Linked DNA regions of Kluyveromyces lactis. The protein of the gene in region 2 binds, or shares a complex with, the protein of the main gene of each other region. Links are inferred from orthologs where the notes say so. Each region holds a gene or a part of one and is shown on either strand. Other genes may lie near its edges. The genes, in order: ORC5 and ORC1.

The links.
Region 1: ORC1 (region 2) and ORC5 share a complex: the UniProt entries of both Saccharomyces cerevisiae proteins name them as parts of the origin recognition complex. The link is inferred for Kluyveromyces lactis from reciprocal best matches to the Saccharomyces cerevisiae genes ORC1 and ORC5.

What each region holds. Positions count from the first base shown.
Region 1 is NC_006039.1:234,803-238,261, forward strand, and holds ORC5 (origin recognition complex subunit 5), read left to right. Parts: upstream 1-1,239; coding exon 1,240-2,661; downstream 2,662-3,459. Other genes in the region: POL2 (DNA polymerase epsilon catalytic subunit), read left to right, coding at 1-1,029; U5 snRNP complex subunit LIN1, read left to right, coding at 2,853-3,459. UniProt on the Saccharomyces cerevisiae protein: Component of the origin recognition complex (ORC) that binds origins of replication. It has a role in both chromosomal replication and mating type transcriptional silencing. Binds to the ARS consensus sequence (ACS) of origins of replication.
Region 2 is NC_006038.1:453,160-457,540, reverse strand, and holds ORC1 (origin recognition complex subunit 1), read right to left. Parts: upstream 2,825-4,381; coding exon 164-2,824; downstream 1-163. Other genes in the region: ECM7 (Ecm7p), read left to right, coding at 3,297-4,381. UniProt on the Saccharomyces cerevisiae protein: Component of the origin recognition complex (ORC) that binds origins of replication. It has a role in both chromosomal replication and mating type transcriptional silencing. Binds to the ARS consensus sequence (ACS) of origins of replication.

The DNA.
Region 1 (3,459 bases), on a different chromosome or scaffold from region 2:
TATGGGCAGTATCTCATGAAAGCGATCAGATCTAAACCAATGTTTGCCTATCTAGACTTGAAAATTGATAGATATTGGGATGTCCTGATTTGGATGGATAAGTATAATTATGGTGGTAGAGCATGTCTACAGATTGAAGATAAAGAAGTTCAGAGTTTCCAGGCTTATTCTCATTGGCATATAAAGGATTTCTTACCTGCAATTTATCAGCAAGAGTTTGATGATTGGTTAGTAGTCATACTGGATAGTATGGTTAAGACAAAGGAAGCCTATCATGAGCGAAATGCATCCACACAAAGATTAACCCAATTACCAAAGAATACACTGGCTGATAGTGACGTAGATAGTCAAACTGACTCTCTAGGCGGTTTTACCCATAATTTTTCAAAAGCTCTCATCAAAAGAGCAGAGAAACTTTACAAGAACCAACAGGAATATATTCTTGATCCTAACTTCGGCAAGGATTATCTATCTCCCACAATTCCTGGGTCGCATCTAGTTGTGAAAAATCCGCTTCTTGAGTTGGTCAAATACTTATCACATATTTTATCACTTTCCAGTAATCATTTATTAGAAGGAAGGGCGCTAAGGAAAGAACTCCTAAAGACATTTGAAATACGCGAATTCGACAGATTAGCTGAATTCAAGGATCCAAGTACATCTTTTGTGATCCCTAGCTTCATATGTGAGCATTGTTCTTATATATCAGATATTGATATTTGCAGAGAAAGTATGGAACGAGTCTTCATATGCCAGAGCTGCAACAGATCCTTGAATAAAAATCTCATTGAAGAGCATGTGATCGAACGACTTCAAGCCCAAGTTGCATCGTTTATTACCCAAGATGTTAAGTGCAATAAATGTCATAAGATCAAAGAGGATGCAATGTCACCTTATTGTCCATGTTCAGGAAAATGGGAACTTGCCGTATCTAAGGAATCTTTCATGGCACAGTTACAAATTTTCAAGAACTTGGCGGAAAGCTTTGACTTTAGAACATTGAAAGAAACTTTGAATGATTTCTTATAGGTTCAAGTCCCTGGCATCTGTTGTATTATCTTTTAGTCTGCTGATGTGTTTACATTTAACATTTATGAGTGTTTATGTGTTAAAATAGATCTGAAAATAAAAAATATATATACACATAAAGGAAATTGTTCTGAACTTAGCATGGTTGAATTCTTCCCACCTGAATGAAGACGCACTATGTGTTATTTACTGCGAATCAAGTGACCCAGAATGGTACGACCTGATGTTAGATATAGAGAAGAACAACTAGATTTTTTGGAAGCGTTTGTCGATGCCGATCCAAAACTGAGCCCGCCAATCTTGTTCATAGAAGGGCCGCATGGAAGTGGTAAGACACATACCCTCAAGAAGTTTTTTGCTTGCAATGAAGAAATCATGAACATTTTACTACCAGCGAAAGATCTGATATATAGCAAATCCACCTGTCAGCGGTTGGCTACATGTCTGCGTCAATTGCTACTGAAACAATTTCCTAGTGTGGAAACCACTGATCTTGATCCATTTGAAGCCGAGGACGTATATCTTTTGCAGAAATTTATCAATAAATTGTTTATCCGATTTAATCACTTGGTAGAACGCGTTAACCTTTATGTTATACTCGATGGGCTGGATGATAATTCACAGGTGAACTTGGAAACACCTACGCAACTCATGGCATTACCTGGATCTATTCTTCCACAAGCGATGATTCAACTTCGGTTAATAATCTCGTTCTCCAAATCCTCATTCTTGTCCAATTACTCAACGTTCAAGGTTCCCACGATCTTCTTCCCCAAATATAAACCACTGGAGATTGAATATATTGTATCACAAACACCAGGTTTCTCGGATGACCCGCTGTTATTGGAAAAAATGGATGAGATAGGATGCGGAAATACAGAACAATTCAGGAGTGAAATCTTCGAAAAATATATCCATTTCCTGATAGAATCATTAATTGTATATACAGGTTATGACCCCACTGCACTGATAGACATAATGAGAATTAAATGGAGGTGCTTTGTACGATCTTTAAATCAAGAGAACATTAAAAATACAGTACAGTTATACAAATCTAACCTGGAGCTATTCAATAAACCTAACGAAAGACTAATACCACAAACCAGCCGTTCGGATCAAAATTCACTAAGTGGTACCGGGTCTGTTGGTTATTCAAGCCATTCTCTTTGTTTCATGGCAAAATATCTTCTAATAGCCGCATATTTGGCATCATATTTGAATCATCGGTACGACTCTAAAGTCTTCTCCAAGAAGAGTCATCTAAGGGGGGGTAGATCATCTTATGGGAGAAGAAGCAAACCAGCGAATAACCCGAGATACCTTCAACCATCAGGCTTTTCTCTTGAGAGAATGCTGGCAATTTTCCAATCGATATACCCAGTCAGAGTTTCGAAGGAATTGTCTCCAGATTTCTTTCAAAGAGATGTTCATATGAAAGCAAATGTGGAAGTCTACGAAAACGTGTCCGAATTGATTACTTCTCAACTTCTTACCGGTCTGAACATGCACAAATTGGGGTATCTTCACGAAAGACTTAAGTTTAAAGTTAACGTCACTTGGGATTACATATTACTAGTGGCTGGCAGTGTTGATTTTGATATTTCAGAATATTTCAGTGATGTTGTGGAATAAACTCGGCATTTGTAGTAGTTATATGATTGTTGCATGCCGTTCTTTTTTTTTCGATCTCATTTTACTCTATGGAATGCTTCTTCAAATTTAGGTATTTTTTATAGACATTGAAATTGATACGTAGAGAGAAACAACCATAGATTCAGATATTTGACATACCAGCAAGCAGAAAGCAGCAGCTTTCATTGAGTATGAATGTAAATAAGGGATCATCTGATCAAAATGATAGATCTGTAATTACCAAATCTAAGGATAAGCTTCAGGTCAAAAAGACTGACTTCAACGCAGATAGCTATGACGATCACTTCGAGGAATCAGACTACCAGGACATTTCTTGCAGCGACGACAGTAGCGATAATGAAGAAGAAATAGAAGATTTCGTACGAAGAGGTCAAACCGAAACCGATGAAATCTTTGATGGAAATTCCTCAGAGATTTCAGAATCTGACAGCGCTGTTGCTGATGATTCAGTATCAGAAGAAGAAATAAATGGTAGTAACGTACAAATAGAAGCCTTCAACATGGAAGAAGAACTGAAAAATGGGACCGTAGACAAGGTAGGGAATGCTACGGGAAAAACTATAAATGATGATTTTGAAAATGAGGACCAATGGATCCAAGACTTTTCTTCGAAGGAGTCAATTAAAAGGGCAAGAGAAGCTCATGAAAATAGCCAAACTCTACAACGGAAGAAGAGGGCTAGGATGTTATACAGACTAGAAGAAGTTCTCGAACAATTGTACTATTTTGTACCGAGAGGGAAGACAATTCAAGAAGCATTGATTTTGCTTCAACAAC
Region 2 (4,381 bases):
AAACACGGTAAAATAGTAGTTAAAAAAATGCATCCTTTATTATATCTTTCTATCTTATAATTAAATAGTTGAAAAAGCAGTTTCATATTCTACTTAACCGCTACGCTACATGACAACCTAAGTAGCAATTATAATAGCAGCAAAGGCGTCTTGAAGGCATATACTAAAATGTCTTCAACATTTCATCTTCATGCAAGCATTGCTCCGCATCTTCCATGGAAATATTTAATTTGATCGTCGAGAGCCTCTCATTCTTCAAATATTGCCTTACTACAACACCTGCATCCAATAATTGCAATAAAATATAGTCCCAAGACACGGCCCTTAACTGTTCCTTTGTATCAACAGAATCATTTTGGAATAAAATCCGTTTCAACTCTAAAATGTATTTGTTATTCCCATTGACATCAATGAGGAGCCTCATTTCTTCTACGATATCACCAAGTTGTACGTCAGTTTGCTTCTTCTTAATTAAATTGATTAATGCGTATAGGAAAAGTTTTCCGCTAAATGACAGACCAGATATGAATTGTTGTTCCGGAGAGGTCGAACTTTCGTTTAATGCCTTGGTAATATGCTTAATTTCTACACTCTGTAATTCTTCATTTCCTGTACCATTGCCACTAGTATCTTTTTTGGAATTGACTAGTCGCTCATATCTAAGCCTCTTTAAGTAATCATTTTCCGCATATTCTACCGCTCTTTTGACCACCTTTAAAGCTCTCCGCACATCACCACTGACACTAGCAATTTTTCTTGATGCAATCTCAATGGCATCAGGATTAATCCTAAGTTTTAGTCGTTTATAGTTAGAGAAGTCTTTTCGCTTTTCTTCTTCATCAGTTTCTATAGTACTACTATCCGGAGAGATCATGTACGAACTCCCTGTCTCCGGGTCGACATAGAAACTAGATTCGTTCAAATATTTAAGTCTCAAATTGATGATTGTTCTAAGCTCTTCATGCGTGTAACCAGTGAACATAATTCTAGTAAAACCAATTCTGGACGAAATCTTGTTACCAAGATGGCGTTCGGGGAGATCTAAGGTGTTTGCGACAGCTACAACAATAAGTTTCGCATTTGAATAGGTAGCCCAGTTAAAGAAGTTGTACATTACATCTTGGCTCTTGCTAACTAATGCATCAAGCTCATCCAATAACACAACGATAGGACGTTTTTTCGTAGCTGGAACTTTGTTAAAATAAAACTCCAGAGATTCCATGGCAGCTCCAGATGTAAGCTTTTCTCCAGATATTTTTTGCCAAAAGACTTCATAACTATCACTTGCTTTGACAATCTTTAAACCATTGATTTCAATGTATTGGAATCTTGGAAGTTCTTTTTGGTCTGCAGATGTCATTAAATCCTTAACTACCTCTCGAACCGTCAAAGTTTTACCAACGCCTGGCGTCCCGGCAATGTAAATACTGGTGCTAGTGCCTGCTTCAATTGCACTGTAAAGTGAGAGGTATATACTTGCAAATTCATTTTCTCTTGCCGGAAGATAATTGTCGAAATCAGCAGCTTTGACAATTTCTTCTTTGCTATTCCTTGAGTTCAATTGCTTCTTCACCTTAGAAAAAATAGTCTCCATTTTGCCTTTAGCAGAAACTGTTCTGAATCTCTCCTCTAATGCAGCTATATCCAAATCATTATTATGCCTTTGGAAAATATCGTTCAAGTCAGGAATATCCTTCGGATTCTTATACCGTTTGGAAAATGGAGTATATGCCTTTTTAGCGCGCACTATATTATTCTTAAAGAACTTTCTAGGAGATGAATGAACTGCTGATGGCTGCAATGGAGTCTGTGATTTTACTGGTGAAATGGGTATATCTGGTTTAATAGATCTCACCTTTTTCTTGGCAGGTTCTACAATTGCAAGCTCTTCTGCAGACTGGTAATCTTCAAACTCTTCATCACTGTCCGAAGAGGATGCGTTTGCAAACTCTTCTTTACTTTCGTGATATTCAGATAAATCCGATTCATTATCTGATATAGCTTCCTTTTCGTTAACAATAGTAGATGCAATGCGTTGGACTTCAGCGTTGGTTTTGCTCACTGTTTGTTGAAAGCTTTTTTTGCTTGGTGTGTTGTCGGACTGCAATTTCGTCGCCACTACCTTCTCTCGTGCGTGGACCTTGGATTTATTTAAAGGTTTTGGAAGCTTGGGTAAAGTAATATCACGCAAATACTCCAGAGACACCTTAGGATTCGAGGAACGTATTTTTTCTTCAAAGAAATGTATATCTAAATCCGCCAGATTAGTTCCTGAAGGCAAGCATGCAGATCGACATAAAAACATATTAGAATCCATTTTCCCTTCATTGACAGAGTCTAAATACTCCTTTTCATTTTTAATATTAGCTACAAATTGCAAGTCCCGTAGATAAATCTCTGAAAGCTCAGCTGTCAAATACAATTCGTTCTTTATCGATTGTGACGCGAAGGTTTCCTCAAAAAATTTGTCACCTTTTTCCTTATTAGTCTCATAAAACTCTCCATCAAGCTGTTTATATCTTTCCGCAGCATTGATCTCGTACCAACTCAAATAGTTCAAACACCAGAGTTCTACGTAATTGCTTGTATTCAATCGCACCTCATGGATCATATACGCTGATAACTCGTCTGCACCCTCTACCTTGCACACAATCGTAACACCAGGATAAAGTCTGACTCCATCGTATCGTACCAAATTAATCACTTCATGTTCTGTAGCATCTCCTCTTCTTCTTCGCCTAGGAGTTTCAGCAATGAGATTCCCCTTCAAGTCTGTCTTCTGTATTTCCCATTGAACTTCAAACTCAGCTAACGTTGACGCCATGCCTAATAAACTCGCTACCACGGAATAAAAAGGAAAAATAATCAGATAACCGTTAAAATGCAGTAATTCCTTCCTAAACTAGTAGTAGTTACTTGCTGGCCAAGTATGTTGAAATGACAGCTACCTGTTTCCGTAGCATTCTTTTATCTCATAGCATATTGGTTGTTACACGGTTCCTCTGTTTACTGAATTAAGATCGATCTTGAAACATCAAATACGTGTAAAATGATACATAGTTTTCCCATTCCTGACGTCTAATTTTAAACCTTGAACCCTGGCAGAAACAGATCAAGAGATTTATCTCAAGAGTGATGACATGATAAACAGAATGAATTCTGCCAGTCAATTAACGAAGGTGAAGCAGATAAACACAGAAGAATAAAGGCAGCTGGCCTGCTGGAAAAAAAATTGAACAATTTCCCACGTTGATAGAGTCATACATAAGAAGCTTTTAGGAGCTTTATAAAAAGAAATGAGGTTTGGAAGTGTCTTGGCGAGGAATATATCGTTATGGAAATACTTAAAAGTGACCCTAGGACACCTCAACGCATTTGATAAGATGATGTTATGGCTGCGAGTTATAACTTCAGTGGGAATTATCGTTTTTGTCCTTGTTTTGACTGCTATTTCTGCCGCATCACCAAATTCGTTATATTTAGGACGATTGGACACTTCAAATGTTAACATTTTGCAGGGACTATTTGATAAGCTCAGCAGTTCTGTTGTCAGTGCAAAACTGTCTGATATTAATAACGGAGCAGGACTCACAACAGCAGAGATTCTTTTACTCACGCGGTATGTAGACTCACAGGTCCACGACGTGCCCGATTATATAAAGACAGGAGTTTACGGATGGTGCAGCATGAAACATGCTTCTCAAGAATTATGGCAGCCTGACGGTACTTGGAAGGAGGAACATAACTCTACAAAGGCTATGACTTGTCACAGGGAAGGAGCGCAATACTTATTGAACTATAGAAAGCTATTAGATGACCTAGGTTTGGGAATAGTGTTAAGTTACGCATACGGATATACTTACAACGATGGTGTTTTGGATCACGACAATGCAGAAAGTGCAAAATACAACAAATTTTTGGCTGCTTTGTCGAGAAGAAAAGTCAACATGGTCAATCTACTTTACGTCGTGGCAGTATTGGAAGTTTTCATATTGGGATCGATTGTCTTGTACTACATGATCAGGAATAGACCTGAACAAACCATGAAAACCAAAATCCTCCTGCATTCTATATCACTAATGAAACTATTGGTGTTTATTTGCTCTTTAGTAGCAGTCATAAACTTTACTATACTATCAATCAACATTCGTCAAAAGATTTCGAACGAACTTGATTCGTTTGGGTTTTCATATCATCTTGGAACTGGTTGGTTCACATGCTTGTGGATCTTTGCATTTTTCAATATTATATCGTGTCTCGTCTGGACGGGTTTCGAGTGGTGCATCACGAATAATGATCCGCCAGTGCCAGCGGAAGAGACTTCATCCATGCTTGGCGTACATATGATACCATTGCAAGAATCATCAAGTAGGGACGACGG